3 linked regions of the Daphnia pulex genome follow. The protein of the gene in region 2 binds, or shares a complex with, the protein of the main gene of each other region. Links are inferred from orthologs where the notes say so. Each region holds a gene or a part of one and is shown on either strand. Other genes may lie near its edges.

Region 1 (4,792 bases), on a different chromosome or scaffold from region 2:
AAAAGTTTCTAAATTCTTTTGGGATCTACACACATATTGAAGGCGCTGCGTGCAATGCGCCGGGTGAGAAGAGAGAAAAAAAAAATTGCGCTGGCGTTCCAATCCTCCTGGTAACGCACACAAAACTACTACTACCACCACCATCCAATCATATATATATATTTATTGTAAAAAGGAAGAAGAAAAGAAAAGGTTAGGAGCTATATTATTATTATACAGGAGCGGCAGGGCGTAGTATTGGAGCCAAGCACGCTCCGTTGCCTTTTCTCTCCCCCCCACGACGACGAAGACGAAAAACGCTCCTATATTCCAGTCTGACTACCACCAACAGCCTCAGTTGGCGCAGAATTCGGATCGTCTCCTTCTGAATGACTGCATTCGGCATCCCTTTTAGACACGCACAAATGAGCATACAGCTAGACGTCTATCTCGCTTTCCTTGTACACACACACACACATGATGAAAAAACCTTCCTACTCAAATATCCAATGAAAAAATGCCAATCCAAATTCAATTGAAGCGCTGCGAGAAGGAGAAAGAAACACCTATCTCATTCTTGCACGTATGTCGGCCGGGAAGGAGAATGTTACCCTCAACATTGGAAGAGAAAATTGTGGGGTTGCGGCCATACAAACTAAAATCGAATTACATAGTAGCGACAGTAGTAATTTACCTTTGCATTGTGACATGGTCCTGAGCGCCCAGAGAAGAAGCGGCGTGCCTTTGAGTAAGGCCAAGTTCTTGAGCGGGATTCCTTTGCTGCCTCCCCGTGCAAGGATCAATCCGGCGACGTGCATCGTCATCAGCAGTTGGTCTCGACACTGCAACTAAAGCAATCCCTCTGTTATGACGGACAATAATTCAGGATTTCTTTCTCGGTTCTACTTCTCAGCCGGCCTGGATCAGCAGTTAAAACTCCACTGGGTCTCACGTAAGCGTAGCCAACAAAAGTAAATAACGTCTTGTTTCTTTTGAGGAAGCTGTGTGTGCTCTCCCCAACCACCGCCTCGGAAGAGAAGAGCCAGCAACCCGGCCGCCGATCGATAGGATCCTGAAATCAAATCTGTTAGCTGCTATTATTGGTCGCTAGATGCCAGCACGCATGTGGAGTCTTGGCACTTTTTACGGAATCAAACATCAGAGGTCGACATGAGATTAATGCGACGACCAACCCGGTCCACCGCATTGGTGGTTTAAGTGATGGGACATTCAAGTGATGGAAAACCAACTGATAAAAAAAGGAGCGGAAGAAAGATGTTTGGAAAAAACAATGGCCGGCACGGGAGCGATCAAGTCCATCCTCGGTGCCCTGAATTCGGTAATCTCATCAAGAATCGAGGCTAGTGTCCAACTAAGGAGATTAATACTGATAGATGAGCCCCACGTTCGTTGTACGCGAGACTATTCCCTTCTCCTTTCTGCTGGACTGTAGAAATGGATGACTTGACATGAATAGAGGAGGATAGGGCGCTTGGTTGCTTCCATTCGGCTGAAATTCGTCACGCCATCCCAAACCCATTACGCCCGACTGATTGAATGTTAATCCAATTTGACGTTGACGTTTGTCTTGAGATTGAGGGGGCCAAAGCCAATACGACACAAGATAGGTGAGTTGATTCCCGCTCTACCAAATGAATCAACCTCTACAAGTGAGGTGGGACGGTACCATTAAAAATTCAGGCGTTCCTAAGTGTATCAAAGCCAATGAAAAACATTTTATACATTTGAGAAAAATAGAAGAAAAAAAAAAACCAAAAAAAAGGGAAAATTATGGTAAAATGTTCAATTTACGGTGTCCCGTCTTGAAATGCCAATGAGGTAAGAGCTTTTGAATGACCAATGTATTCTTTAGCTATCTCGCTCGTTTCTATACTCCACAGCCTTGCTGTGTTGTCGGACGAAGCTGGATAAACGAAATGTTTCATCAAGACAGGCAGACAAAACCAGGATGAAGAATAGAAGAGTCAAGTACCTGTTATTGCGTATTGTGAATCGGCAGAGAAGGCAATGTCCCACACCCAGCGCTGATTTTCAGTTTGCAGTGTGGAATGAAGGGAAAAATCGGAAGTCTTCCATAACTTGGCCGTTTGATCGGCTGACGTCGTGGCCAAGTACCTGCGAGATCAATTGTAAGATTGAAAAAGAAATTCAAAGAAAACGAGGCGAACGTATACTTTGCGTCAGGGCTGAATTTGCATTTGAGACCGTAACGTTTGTGAGCTAACAAACGGCTTTTCGGTCGCAACTGTGTTGGTGTCGAACCTTCTTCGCCGTCCGGCAGTTTAGTCCCAGGGATGAGGCTCCAAACATAACAGTTTCCCTTTATTTGTGTAGAGAGAGAAAAGGAAAAAAAACATCTCAAGACTTGGTTGGGAAACTAAGAATAAACATCAATAATGGGCACCTTGTTATTAATGGCTGCCATGAAGTTTGCAGAAGAATCAATGGAAATGTCTTGAATGGAGGCATCTTGTTCTGGAATCTGTAAGTATTTGATTGATATTATTATGGAAATGGAAATACTTGAGGTATCAATACTAACCAGTTGTTCATTGTGATCTGTTCTCAGGTCCCTATATAAGCAATCCATGTGTTACAATCATTCCCAACAGAATAAGAAAGGTACGTAAAATCTCACCAGATGTGGATGACACCACTTTGGTCTCCTACCAATAGTTCACCTTGATTAGGATGCAAACAAACACAATTTACAGGGGCAGTGACTTGAAATATTCTGGAACATTGCAAATTTCTTGTCCTAGAATGACACAAATGAGAACTCAATCAAACTATGTTTTTTCCAATAATACGAGGAAACATGATACCTAAGATCCCAAACTCTTGCAGAACAGTCTTCTCCTCCAGTGTACATCCAGTGTCCATCTTCGTGAAATCCAACAGCAGTCACATTTCGTGAAATACCTTCATAATTGACTATGGGATTGGGGTTAGAAGAGTTGATTTCATACATGCGAATATGTTGGTATCCTGCAGCTGCCAATAGCTGGCTGTCGGGGGTGATATCGAGAGCATTCACTTGCGATTCGGGATGTGTTACCGTCCGGGTACACACTCCCGAGTGGGCTTGCCAGAATTTAATTGAGTGATCATAACCTCCTGTAGCTAATATAACTTGATCTCCATTATTATTACCCATAAGGTTTTATTATATTGTTTGACGTTTAAGTCAAACCAACAAAATAAATTTCCTTATTGTTTTTCTTCTGAAATCACTCTACTAGCAGACGACGATCAGAAACTCAAACTACGAGCCCAAGGCCGCATTGCCAAATTACGAAAGGTATGAAATTAAAAAAAAAGAAGAGAAATTTTTAAGTTTTAAATCACATTTTATTGAACCGACAAGATTTCAACAATCATTTCTTCTTGTACAGACACAGGTATTTCTTCTGAATGTAGCAACATTATTTCAGGTGTAGGCGATACGGACTCAGTGAAGTGGGGTAAGGCAGGACATTCATTTTCCACATTTGTTTGTTCCATGAAATTTGATTCGGCGGAGACGTTTTGTGGATCCGGTTGCGTTGATTTATTAGAATCACCGAGATCTGTTTTTTTCATGATTCTTAAGAGTGTATTCTGACTCGGTAGGGGAAGAATGCCTTCGGATCTTAAATGCTTGTACGCCGAAGAACTTTTGTTTCTGATTCGTAAACATTCTTTGAGAAATTCGGGATCGTAACGCATTGCGCTGAATCGATCGTTTCTTCCAGGATTCACTGTTGCTTTGGCCATCATTGTTTTAACAACTAGCTGTTCCTAAAAGTGAGTAATTCTTGTAAATTAGCTGAAAAGAGAAATTTGACATATCAATTAATCATTACTTTGGGCTTTAAAAGCTTTAATTTCACATCAAAGCTATTCCAGTAAAGCTTCTTCCTTTCATTGCGCAAACCTTCTATGGTACCTGAAAGAGCCTGAAATTCAGAAAGAACTATTAAAGGATTATTCCGAGAAAAAATCCAACAATAATTTACCTCAATTTTAGAATTTGATCGTGTCAACCTTTGCTTGGTGGAACGCAACCTCGATTTATAATCTTCTTTCGAATTTTTCAATTTCTTGGTCTTCTGATTATTTGTACTTCTCTTCAAATAATTTTTAAAAACGCGGCATTTTGAACAGAGAGCGGAAGCAGGAGGGTTTGCAATTCCCATGCACATTTTTGAGCGCCACAAATTGCCTTCCTTGATACCAGCACATTTACCCGTCACTTCGGTATCTGCTAGCGAATCATCCACAATTCCTTGACATGTTCTTCTGTAATTGAAATCTTCAAGAATATTTGCTAAATCAGCTTTACTTCGAAACTCAAATTGCATATCTGGAGGCGTGATGGGTTTTCCATTCAGATACAACGCAACTTTGGTCATGGTGACAATTTTAACAGATTTTATAGTCATCACACCGTCATGGGAAAAAATATGACAAGAACAAACTAAATTGTTGTTTCGTTCGTTGAAGGACCAAGTCCATTCAGCTGTAGGAGTAACGACACCATTAATGAAGTTGTGGTAACCCGCCATACCCAAATGGAAACTTTCCTCCTCATTCACAGTAGGGGTCGAAGAAGAACGAATAACGTAATTGTGATCCGATTCATTTGGGCCAGCATTTTCTTGTGCTTCCTGAGATGTAGCTGATTCGAAATTGCGCAATGTCGATGACGCAGCAGCACTCTCTTCTAGAGAAGTTGGTGTTCGTGGAGGTACCAGTACGTAGCTGTGGTCAAAACTGCAAGACGCAGAAGAACTAACATCCATACGATCAT
Region 2 (6,371 bases):
AAAAAAAAAAACGATTTTTAAAAAAATATTTTAAATTTGAAAATATTGATAATCCTACTGATGACGGCAAGGTAAAAGTGTGATGACGGCAGGTGCATCGCAGCATAATGAGCATGAATCTTCATGGATGTTGGTGAGTCTCAACTGCTCTAATTTCTTCGATCTATCGGCAGATAATAAGGATGTCAGATTATTCTGGTAACCAGGTTTACTTAGCAAAAAATATTAAGTAGAAACAGAACCTTGGCAATATAATTTTTTGCTCTGCTGTTAACAATGCGTGGTCATTGAAAGCAGACACGGCAACTCCTCTGGGTGCAAAATGAAATGGTTTACTTCCGAAATTGAATTCGCACTGTTGAAACGACATAAAACTTGCAGCGGCAAAAAAGCCGCTTCTATAGTTATAACAAAAAGTATACGGTATTATTTTAAATCGTTTAAAAATCAGGATTGCTATTATACTTGGCAGATTTGAAAAGTTGTGAGTTAGACCCAAGTGCAACCCCATTCAACGAGAATATGACTTCCTCTCGATCAATATTCAATAAACATCCTAAAATATCTCCAGGTTTCCATTGTTGAAGTGTATGTGGTATGGATTCCGCTTCATACCAAATCAAGTTGCGACATCCATCATAGGCAATGGAAAACTCGTCATCACCGATACCATATCCTTCCTAAATAGATAAAAAAGAAAAGAAATAATAGTTTTCCATTTGACCTAATTATTATAAATGATAAGTACGTAGTTAAGAAATTTGCTGGATTTCGTAGCCCAACCAATCTGCATGATTCCAGGTGTGACTATCAACGCTTCGTAATACCAAATGCCAGCATCCGCTTGATATGTACAGCGGACACTTTCAAAGGAAGAAGCGTCGCAGCGAGCTTCAAGACCATTGGCTGCAATTTTGAGATATTCGCTAACATCTTGGCTGTTAAGCATAACATTGATAGCACTTGTATCTGTGCGTTCGTAGGTGAACGATCGCCCCTCACTAACGACTGTTACAGAAATGAATAGCATTCAAAATTAAGGTTCATTCAAACGTGTGATAAAGAGTTTTAAAAAAATGCATACATAGATTATCAAGACACCATTCAGAACAGAATCCAACTTGACGTTTCATGTAATCGTCGGTCGATTTCCATTTTTCCAACACCAAAAGTGGATGCTGGGTTTCTTGGTGGAATCTTTTATTGAGAGCAATTTTGTTTTCACCTAAATAGAAGAAAAATGAGAAACAAATCCTACAAACTAGTTATAATTATTATTTTTTACTTGTTTGAGCAAATTTCTCAAGAGCAATTAATGAAAACAGTACTACTGGTGGGTGGTTTGATGGATCCTAAAAGATATACATTGTTGAAAATAAAGTGAGACCAAAGATTGATTGTCAGACATACCAGGTTGGCTATAAGGTAATCCAATGTGCTGTCAGTTAGCAAAGCAACACTTGTAGGCCCAGCCAATTTTTCAGCAATGCAGCCCAATGCAATACAAATATTCCTGTGACGATTAGGATCTGATCTTCCCCTTTTACTAGCTTTAGCTGACAGCCAAAACATCCGGGGGACTTTAGTAATGGAATCCTGAAAAAAAAATGGTGAAAATTTAACCTAGCAACAATGTCTAACATATGATTAAAATCTTACCTTTGCTGGTAAGGCACAGTCATCTAGCACCAGAGTGATGACAGCAGGTCCAAGGGGTTCATTAATGGGTATTACATTAACCATGGAATGTAGAACAAGCAACCAACCATGCCCTTTGTTAGAAAGAGCTTGTAATCTTAACATTGAAGGAGGTGTTTCTTGATCACTAAACAAAGAAGGAATAATTAAAGTGGATACATAGGAACATATAATAAAAACATACTTTTCAACTAAATTTCCTATGACAGCTAATGTCTGCAAAACAAGACTGTCAATATGGGGTAGCATTCGCCTCAAGTGTGAGGCCTCAGATGCTGGTATAACATGAGATGGGAAACTTCTGTCTCTATCAACTGAAATATTAGATTGCAGTGGACTTGGGAGGCTGGCAGTTTCTGGTTGAGGCACTGAGAGAGAGGGTAGTTCCCCATCCTTTTCGTCACAACATAAGCATTGTCCCATTTTTAACTGCTTCAGTGGAAATTAAATTTGAACATGTTATTTGAGAGAGATCGTCACTATTCAAACGTGCAATTTGATCTCCATCTTAGTTAAGTTTATAAGTGGGTGTATATGGATTGACCAGGAATGGATTTGACGTTGTTCAACAATTAATTTCAGTAGCACTATTTAACCATGTTATAAATATGGATGGTAATCTAGTATTGAGAAATTCGATGAAAAAGGTATCGTCTGCTGCTTATAACGCGAACATAGATATCCGCTAGGGGCGCTTATAGGAGAGCCATCCTTTCACCGGACATCTAATAGTATCTAATGCCTAATGAGGAGTAACACAATTTGGAGTTTTCTTTTTCTTCCGTCAGATGTCGAAGTCCACAAGTTTGTTTATTAAAATAAGTCATACTGATACTGTAAAGTCTAATTAGTAATTACACGTTGTGGAATTCGCGTATTGCATATTCTTTTTAAAATAAGGCTTATCTTTTTTTGTCGAAGACAAAGAGTTATTTGATTGAATGGAAAAATAACATATAGTGTCCAATTTCAATTTTCGCTAGCGGGGTACGAGGTGATTGGCGACAGTTGACTTTGAATGTTTTCGAACTACTCCTTTGAGTTGTTGCTGATTATGCATTGAATTTATATCAACTGCTTCCTTTATTTTATCCTTTTTATTTATTTCAGTTACAGAATGGCAACCGGAATGATGCAAACATTCATCACTGGGCTTAGATCCAGAAGTGAAGATTTGAGACTAAAGGCTGCCCGAGATTTACACCATTATGTAAGAGAAGGATAAAGAGCTAAATGTTTAAGAAGGAAATAATATAGAATTGTTTTAATGTTGTCTTAATTTGTTTAGGTGACATCTGAGTTAAGAGAGGCATTGCAGGAAGATGTAATTTCATTTGTTGATGATTTGAATCACCATATATTTGACATGGTGTCCAGCTCAGATGTCAATGAAAAGAAAGGTGGCATTCTAGCCATAGTTAGTTTATTGCAAGTAGATGTTGGAAATACCAATGCCAGAATGACTAGATTTGCCAACTATTTGAAAAACTTACTTCCATCTCAGGATGTAGTTGTAATGGAGTTAACTGCAAGGGCACTTGGAAAATTGACACTGGCAAGTTAAACAAAAATCTAAATAGCCTCTACACATAATTAAAACAGATGATAAATATAGATATGCAATTTTTAATAAAACAGGTATCAGGAAGCTACACCGCGGAGTATGTGGAATTTGAAGTAAAACGAGCCTTTGAGTGGCTCAGTGGCGAGAGAAATGAAGGTCGTAGGCATGCAGCGGTAAGTTAAAAATAACATCATTAACGATATGTTGATACCATAAGTTTTAACTCAATTTCTCACAGGTGCTGGTTTTGCGAGAATTGGCTTTATCCATGCCAACTTTCTTTTTCCAGCAAGTCCAGACTTTTTTTGACGTTATTTTTTATGCTGTTCGGGACTCCAAACCAATGATTCGAGAAGGCGCAGTTGCTGCTTTACGCTCTGCTTTAGTCGTCACATCTCAGCGAGAAACTAAAGAAGCTCAAAAGCCTACTTGGTAATAAACAAGCTTGTACAAGTTTAACACATAAAGATATAGTATTAACCATTAATTAGGTATAAACAATGCTTTGACGAGGCCCAACAAGGTTTTGAGGAACCGTTAGCCAAAGATAAAGGACTAACAAAGGACGACAGAGCTCATGGATCTCTTTTGGTTCTTCAAGAGCTTCTACGTTGTTCGAATGCAGAGGGTGAACGACTTCTCGCTGAACTAGAGCAATTAAATTTACTACATTCACAGACTGTTCAGGTTGAATATGCCGATCTTTGTATGACCTGAGCAAATGCGATAATTCTCAATGATTTTTTACCAAAGGATTCTCTAATTTCTACAACTTCCCGAGTGTTGCCGAACGGTGCTGTTGAATTAATCAACACTCCTACACTTTACAATAATCTCCGGCTTTTGCCAGGGCATGTCGCTCAATCAAGGATAGCCAGCGCCGTGTCACCACTATCGATAGTTGCGCCCCAGCAGGTGATTTATAAAATTGATCGCAATACTTCCACTTACCTGAACGAATTTTCTATACAAACAGTACCCTATAGTTGAAAGCGCTGCATGCCGCCAATTGACTGCTGATCATTTTGATGAAATTTGTGCCAACACTCTTCGACATAGCATCTCAAAAAGCAGCCATGTACAAGCAGCTTTGATGGGAATTCTGCCTAGACTGGCTGCCTATGATCGAACCCGATTTTCTGATAGGTATTAAATTTTTGGAAAATTTCTTAAAATGACAAATGACCATACATACTTAATTTCCCCAGGTATTTGGGCCCTTCGATGAGCTACTTGATGGCGTGTTTGACCCGCAAAGAAAAAAATCCTCACCTTGCAATGATAACTATAGGTTATATAGCAGTGTGTATTGAAGGGGATATTGCCACACATCTCCCTGGCATTATTAGTTTTGTTCGGACTTCTCTACCTCAAAATAAAGTAGAGAAACTAAAGAGTGTAAAGAAGAAAAATTCTTTAATTTTCGAAACTTCTCCAAACTAGGACCCATCTTCTACCAAAAAACGCTCCAGTCCCCCTGATATTGCTGTTTTCGTCTGTCTAAGTCTGCTTGGCCGAGCCGTTGGTCGTTCTCATCTAACTAGTGAGTTCAAGGATCTACTGGATCCCATGCTGTCCGTTGGACTTAGTCCTGCCCTGACAACTTGTCTTCGTGAACTGGCCTTGAGAATTCCTCATCTTAAAAAAGACATTGCCGAAGGACTCTTGCGGATGCTTTCACTAGTTTTGATGCACCAACCACTTCGTCATCCAGGCATGGTTTTATTTTAAACAACGAATTTGGAAAAGTACATTCTACTTGAATTAATTTATCCATTCTATTTTAGGAATGCCAAAACATCATATGGCGCTCACTCCAGTGGCACTTCAACCACTACCATCGAATGGGGATGACGTCAATAGCATCGTTTTAGCTCTAAGAACGTTGGGGAGTTTTGATTTTCAAGGTTAAAAAACCAATTTATTTAAAATTCAATGAACGAGAGACGCAGATTTTTCAACATAATTTTGTTTGTGTCGCTAGGTCAACCACTACTTTTACAATTTGTTCGCCATTGTGCCGACAACTTTTTGTGCAGTGAGCAAAGGGCCATACGTCTTGAAGCTGTGCGAACATGCAGTCAGTTATTGAAATGTGCACTTCAGGAGTCAGTGAAATTAAAGAAAAAGCCATTGAGAAGCAGTGGAGTTCGCCTAGTTTCTGCTACGGTAGCTGAAGTCTTGAGTAAACTGCTCACCGCTGCCATCACGGATCCTGACGCTAGTGTCCGATACTGTGTTTTCGCGAGTCTCGATCCCCATTTCTTTTCGTATCTGGCGCTTGCGGAAAATCTTGGCTCTATCACTGTGGCGCTAAACGATGAAGTCTTTGAGATTCGAGAAATGGCTGTGTGTATCATTGGCCACTTGTCTTCCATGAATCCGGCTTATATTATGCCTGCTCTGCGTAAGCTTTTAATACAGTTGCTCACCGAATTGGAGCACAGTGGCATGGGTCGGAATAAAGAGCAAAGTTCGAGGTTATTAGGACGCTTGGTTTCTTCCGCACCAAGGCTAATCAAACCTTATATGGAACCCATCCTAAAAAGTAAGAACTGCCAGTCAAAATTTGAGGAATAATATTTTGATGTGTGTTACAAAAATTGTTTTATTTCAGTTTTAGTTCCGAAATTGAAAGAAAACGACCCTAATCCTGGAGTCACAATCGCCGTTCTCACTGCTATCGGAGATTTAGCTCAGGTGTCTGAGAGTGAAATGAGGCTGTGGAGCCCTGAGCTACTCCCTTTGTTATTGGATATGTTAGCTGATTCTAGTCTTCCAGCTAAAAGAGAAGTTGCCTTATGGACCTTGGCACAGTTGATCGAAAGTACAGGGTAAGGATTCTCACTACTTGTTTCTTGCTTTCTTATTGAAATTATTATTTCCCACCAAATATCTAGATGTGTGATTCAACCTTATCAAGAATTTCCGTCACTGCTTGAGCTGCTACTGAGCTTTTTAAAAACCGAACAACTTGTTTCCATTCGCCGAGAAACGCTCAGAGTATTGGGATTGCTTGGAGCGCTGGACCCTTATAAACATAAAATGAACTTGGGTCATATTGATAGCCAAGTAAGTAGAAAACTTTGCGAATTTCCAAATATCGCCC
Region 3 (4,903 bases), on a different chromosome or scaffold from region 2:
TGAAACACAGTATTGGTTCGACTCTCATTTTGGATTCGGCCATGGGTTATGTCATGGAATCAGTGGATTTAGTGCTTGTTGGAGCTGAAGGTGTTGTTGAAAGCGGAGGCATTATCAATAAGGTACGGATAAAATATATTTATTTGACTATTTAAAAAAATTGAAAAATTTATTGAAATAGATTGGAACATATACTATGGCGCTGTGTGCCAAGGAAATGCACAAACCCTTTTACGTTCTCGCTGAGAGCTTCAAATTTGTCCGTCTCTACCCGCTGAACCAACGCGATTTACCCCAAGAACTGAAAGTATGTTAAATTTTTTAACCAATTTTCCATAATGCTGAAACTTGTGTTGAATTTTTTTAGTTCTCGTCAACTATTATTGAATCCAATCATTCTAATCTTCTCGATCAGCATCCTCAAGTTGATTACACGCCACCAGGATATTTGACTTTGCTTTTCACAGATTTGGGAATTCTCACTCCATCAGCCGTCAGTGATGAATTAATTAAACTTTATCTATGAAAGAGAGTCGTCTAAATATAAAAACATCGATAAATGTGTAAATAAAATACACGTTCATGTCACTTTTTTTGTGATTTTAGACATTTTCCTGCGCGTGTGGAAAATATAACATGCAGTAAGGTCATCTGTCGCAAGGTGGCGTTTCGAACGATGCACTTCAAATTGGAAACCGTTGAAGTTGTTAGCGTTGGTGCTAATTTAGCTCTAACTTTTTAACAATCAAAATTAGGGAATAATAACAAAGTTTAATTGAGACAACTACAGAAAACTGTGAGGAAAAAGATGTTAAATGAGCCAAATAAAGACCACATTCCGGAGAAATTTCCAAGAGAAAGAAACAACATTGATGACTTCATAAAGAGGAGACCAAGTCTTAACAGAAGTATTACTGGTGGTGGTTCTGGTTCAACTTTTCGAGGTAATGAAATGTTGTGGATATTGTTTGTCAATTTGTTCACTATGAAGTTTTTACAGCTGCTTGTGCTGCGGTAGACTCATCCCTACCTCCTTCTGGGAAGAAACATAAAATAACAGAACTATGTCTGAATCATACCCTGAAGGAAATGAAGTTTAATGCCTTAGAAAAAGAGCAAGATGCTGTTGCTGCCTATTCAGAAAGGCTACGGGATAACATTGAAGACATTCTAAACAAAGTTCTAGTTTCTACTGGAGATAAAGCTCATCAGAAATTTGAGAAACGAACAAGATCAGCCACAAAACAACTGAAGAATGAGAAGTTGCTGTGGAATGAAGAATACAAAAAGAGAAGAGAAGCCTATTTAGATGCAAAGAGTAAGCTTAAAGATGTCTTGAAGGGAAGAGTGCAAATTGAAACAGGCCGATTGAAATCTGAAGATGTAAAGTTTCTAAAGAGCTTACCAGATTTTGCAGCAGTCAACAAGAAAATTGTTTCATATCAAACACGCCACTACATAGGACTCGTACACCTGGAAAAAAATTCCCAACAACTACATCGGTCCTTATCAACGGTTGAGCGTCAACTAGACGAAGTTCAGAGCATGATAGTTCCAACTTTTCAATGGACATAGGACCTTCTCCCATTCCTTTCTGGATAACGACGTCTACAATAATCCTTTCTTCCGCTACATAATCCGCTATACTTTGTAAAAATTGACATTTCGCATTTTAAGGTTTATTAAACAAACAATTGAATTATTAAAATTTCTTTTAACGAATCAGGCTGGCTTTCTTGTTGACGTATGACATGTGATGGAGGTACTCCTGGCGGTAAAGTCCTCCCCGGATTTCTAATATGAATTTTAACTTCGCCACAACTTGTTCGATGGTCTTCGAGTCACACTCAATTCGCAAACGCCTCCATTTTCTTTTATCTGTGTCGTAATACATAATAGCAACTGATGCTGGCAATGTTTGCATAGGAACACAATCTACGATCACTTCAATAGGTAAACGGGTTGGTTTGAGATTGGGCCTTGACCACAGTAAAGTTGTTACAGACCGACTAGTTGGGCAAGGCTTGATCTCCACTTGGTCCCACGAAATTCCTGTGCGAAACGTTATTATTGGATTTGACATGGATAATTTATAACATTTTATTTATTTACCCAAAGTTATTTCCGTGTTTGGCCGAACTTTGTGTAGCAAAAATCCTTTGAACGAATGGTAGTCGGTAGATTCCAGAACAGCCCCACGCTCTTCTGGTTTCTCAGTGTTGAGTTGATCAACTGTTTTATTAGTCTCGACGTCTTTCTTCGCCTCCTTTGGGGGATTGGCAGAGCGAACCAAAGCCAGGGAGGTGAATCCAAACTTCCCAACAACTTCTTTAGGTTCTAGGCAAGGGAAATCGGCATCTGGACTTCCGTCGTCTTCGGCAATGAATAGTGCGTAATTATCCACAGATCCACTAATTGTAAAATATATACTGAACTTAATTAATCTAATTTTTCAAGGGCAAAATTTTAATATTTACGTTAAAGGAGGTTCTCTTTTTTCGTGGCTGTATTTGTAACAAACAAGGCCGATAAGTTCAGAAACCTTTGCCGAAGCCACAACACAAACGGTCATAGGAAAGTTGCGGTCTTCAGCACTTTGCATGCTTAAAAATATCCTTATTGTTCTTGTGGGTGCTCTCAATTGAGAATTCCCATCAAATTTTGCATACTCAATGAATGGCGAATCGGGATCCGAGGCGTGCTCAGCCATAAGTTTAGAAAGGGCAGATTTGGAATTCTGAGCAACCACTTCCTTCTTTTGAAATATCTTGGTCTTTTCACCTTGATCTAGATTGGTCAAATCTGGCTCTTTCCATCTAATGGTACTGATCATGGCGGCTGCTTGCTGTTCTTTCCTCATCTTCTCAAGCCTCACCACTGTGTTAAGCCTTCTCCTCCGAGTTCCAAAGTCATCATTACCATTTCCTAGAGATCTTGTGTGAATTCGTCCATCATCATCAAACTCTTCTTCTGAATCATCTAAATTTCCAAACCACTGTTTTTTACCCTCTTCTCTGATCTTCTTTGGTATATCAGCGTTCTGCAATATCATTTCGCACATGCCTGAATGGAGAGAAACAATGCAATCAGCACTATAGAAAATCAAATGTTCCAAAGAGAATAAAGTAACTCACCAGTATCATCTGAGTACAAGAATGAGTTTCTTACATGGGAAAGAATCCAATATTTGTTGTCATAAAACGCCATAATACTCTGTTGACCTAGAACCCAAATTCGATTTCGATTTGTACGCGCACCAATGAAGTAAGTATATCGTACTTTCGGATAGCGTAGCACTTAGATAATGTGTATAAAACATTGAAGCATTCTGTATTTTTCTTTTTTCATAGAGAAAGGAGACCAAACACCCAACTCTTGCTCTAATGTTATTGTTTTGCCTTTTTAGGGATTTAGTTTTAGGTTGTTTGACATTTTGATTGAGCTTCTGCTATGAGCGCAGTGTTGCCGCATCAAATCAACTGTCTGTTGCGCGAAAACGTCGGCAAAAATTAATAATTTTTTCGGCTAAATTTGTCTTCCATTCCATTTCTTAGATCTTCAAAAACGAATTGGGTAATGCTGTGAGTTTATTTCTTATTAACTTTTTCAGAAGCGAACACTATGTATGGTTCAATTTGATGGGCACGGTCGTATTGAAATTGGTCGAGAAAGAGGTAAAAATGTGTTTTGTTCTTTAAATACTACTTTAACATACTTATCTTTTTCTTTTACCATTTTAATAATGTTATGCCCCGCATCAAAATGATTTCTAATTATTTATTGTTAAATTAAATCATCGAGATCTTCATAATCATCAACACTGAATTTAACCAGAGCTTGGCGTGGTCGATGACGTCGTAGTTGAATCTGTGGTGCTTGTAACAGTAGTTGAGTCGGAAGTGCTTGTGACAGTAGTTGAATCTGTCGTGCTGGTTACAGTACTTGAATCGGTGGTGCTGCTGGCCGTAGTAGTTGAATCTTATTTTGGTAAATATTTTAAAAAATGTATAGTGATCTTAGAATTACGAATGTGGATTCATACTAAGTACTAACCTGATGTGGAAGTTGGCGTCGATCCTGTGGTTGTAGTCGCCGATGTAGTGGTGGAGGCCGGAGTGGTGGAGGAGGCGGTGGTTGAAGCGGCAGTAGTACTGGACGCAGCAGCGGTATTAGATCCTGGACAAACAACAACTCCGGCTGGAAGACAATTTGCGCCTTTCAAAGTGTAAGTAGCTGTCGAAGTTGTGGAAGTTGCGGTTGTCGTCGTTGTGTACACTGTCGATGTACTATAATCGTTCAATGTCATTTTATGATTGACGGTGATATTTTGAATTATGAATTTCTTAAGGAATATCGTGTACCTGGTGACGAGGACGGCCGGAGTCGGTTGCGGTCGGAAAATGCCACTGAAAATGTTGGAGAGAAGAGAAGAAAAGGCGTAAAAAGCGCCGAAAAGCGGATCTGCTACCCTGTAAACTGGCTGATCTGACGGTTTATCGAGCGACGACTGAATACTGAATGGGGAAATGAACTGCGGATTGGACTGGTAGGGGCGGATGGCCATTCCATTACGGTAATCGGGCAATGCGGAAGGCAGAACCCTATTTCAATTATTGACAAATACAAAATTAATAATTTGATGGCCCTTTTATCAGGAAAGATAAGATATTTATGCTTACTGGATGACTTGAGTGGGTTTCAGCGGCTGGTACTGTTGGTGGATGTCATCCTGGCTGACGAAGACATGGTCGGCATATAATGGAAGATTCCAGTACTGTCTCTTCCGGCGACACACCGTTGTGGCGGAAGGTGCTTCTAGTTTCGCGCAGTCAAACCTCTTACTAAAAAAAAATTATCAATCAAATTTTAAACAGGTAATTTTAATTTAGCCATTCAGTAATAA

The links.
Region 1: the proteins of serine/threonine-protein kinase mTOR-like (region 2) and target of rapamycin complex subunit lst8-like are in contact, whole or in part, in a crystal structure (PDB 4JSV), measured with the Homo sapiens proteins. The link is inferred for Daphnia pulex from reciprocal best matches to the Homo sapiens genes MTOR and MLST8. Residues at the interface, in NP_001373429.1 of Homo sapiens: Leu2269, Arg2270, Met2271, Ala2272, Pro2273, Asp2274, His2277, Leu2278, Thr2279, Leu2280, Met2281, Gln2282, Val2284, Glu2285, Val2286, Glu2288, His2289, Asn2292, Asn2293, Glu2536; in NP_001186102.1 of Homo sapiens: Tyr20, His22, Asp42, Ser43, Gln44, Val45, Asn46, Tyr62, Asn87, Glu105, Gln148, Thr174, Arg221, Tyr222, Leu224, Ser268, Arg270, Gly271, Trp272, Trp274, Ser290, Lys313, Val316.
Region 3: serine/threonine-protein kinase mTOR-like (region 2) and target of rapamycin complex 2 subunit MAPKAP1-like share a complex: the UniProt entries of both Homo sapiens proteins name them as parts of the mechanistic target of rapamycin complex. The link is inferred for Daphnia pulex from reciprocal best matches to the Homo sapiens genes MTOR and MAPKAP1.

What each region holds. Positions count from the first base shown.
Region 1 is NC_060019.1:9,054,825-9,059,616, forward strand, and holds target of rapamycin complex subunit lst8-like, read right to left. Parts: upstream 3,270-4,792; 5' UTR 3,158-3,269; coding exon 2,826-3,157; intron 2,759-2,825; coding exon 2,639-2,758; intron 2,574-2,638; coding exon 2,543-2,573; intron 2,483-2,542; coding exon 2,405-2,482; intron 2,321-2,404; coding exon 2,175-2,320; intron 2,116-2,174; coding exon 1,973-2,115; intron 1,904-1,972; coding exon 1,788-1,903; 3' UTR 1,664-1,787; downstream 1-1,663. Other genes in the region: N-acylneuraminate cytidylyltransferase A-like, read right to left, coding at 674-803; uncharacterized protein LOC124191397, read right to left, coding at 3,352-3,780, 3,846-3,938, 3,999-4,792.
Region 2 is NC_060027.1:5,104,877-5,111,247, forward strand, and holds the start of serine/threonine-protein kinase mTOR-like, read left to right. Parts: upstream 1-2,479; 5' UTR 2,480-2,692; intron 2,693-2,808; 5' UTR 2,809-2,815; coding exon 2,816-2,908; intron 2,909-2,986; coding exon 2,987-3,253; intron 3,254-3,336; coding exon 3,337-3,435; intron 3,436-3,500; coding exon 3,501-3,694; intron 3,695-3,753; coding exon 3,754-3,949; intron 3,950-4,015; coding exon 4,016-4,177; intron 4,178-4,238; coding exon 4,239-4,408; intron 4,409-4,470; coding exon 4,471-4,642; intron 4,643-4,705; coding exon 4,706-4,976; intron 4,977-5,049; coding exon 5,050-5,169; intron 5,170-5,246; coding exon 5,247-5,810; intron 5,811-5,879; coding exon 5,880-6,096; intron 6,097-6,162; coding exon 6,163-6,334; intron 6,335-6,371. Other genes in the region: RING finger and SPRY domain-containing protein 1-like, read right to left, coding at 59-163, 243-398, 466-680, 749-1,008, 1,085-1,225, 1,286-1,352, 1,411-1,596, 1,660-1,825 and 1 more. UniProt on the Homo sapiens protein: Serine/threonine protein kinase which is a central regulator of cellular metabolism, growth and survival in response to hormones, growth factors, nutrients, energy and stress signals.
Region 3 is NC_060023.1:2,533,634-2,538,536, forward strand, and holds target of rapamycin complex 2 subunit MAPKAP1-like, read right to left. Parts: upstream 3,444-4,903; 5' UTR 3,320-3,443; coding exon 3,280-3,319; intron 3,222-3,279; coding exon 3,135-3,221; intron 3,064-3,134; coding exon 2,478-3,063; intron 2,412-2,477; coding exon 2,113-2,411; intron 2,053-2,112; coding exon 1,715-2,052; 3' UTR 1,664-1,714; downstream 1-1,663. Other genes in the region: translation initiation factor eIF-2B subunit alpha-like, read left to right, coding at 1-122, 182-307, 368-526; uncharacterized protein LOC124198557, read left to right, coding at 809-944, 1,001-1,575. UniProt on the Homo sapiens protein: Component of the mechanistic target of rapamycin complex 2 (mTORC2), which transduces signals from growth factors to pathways involved in proliferation, cytoskeletal organization, lipogenesis and anabolic output.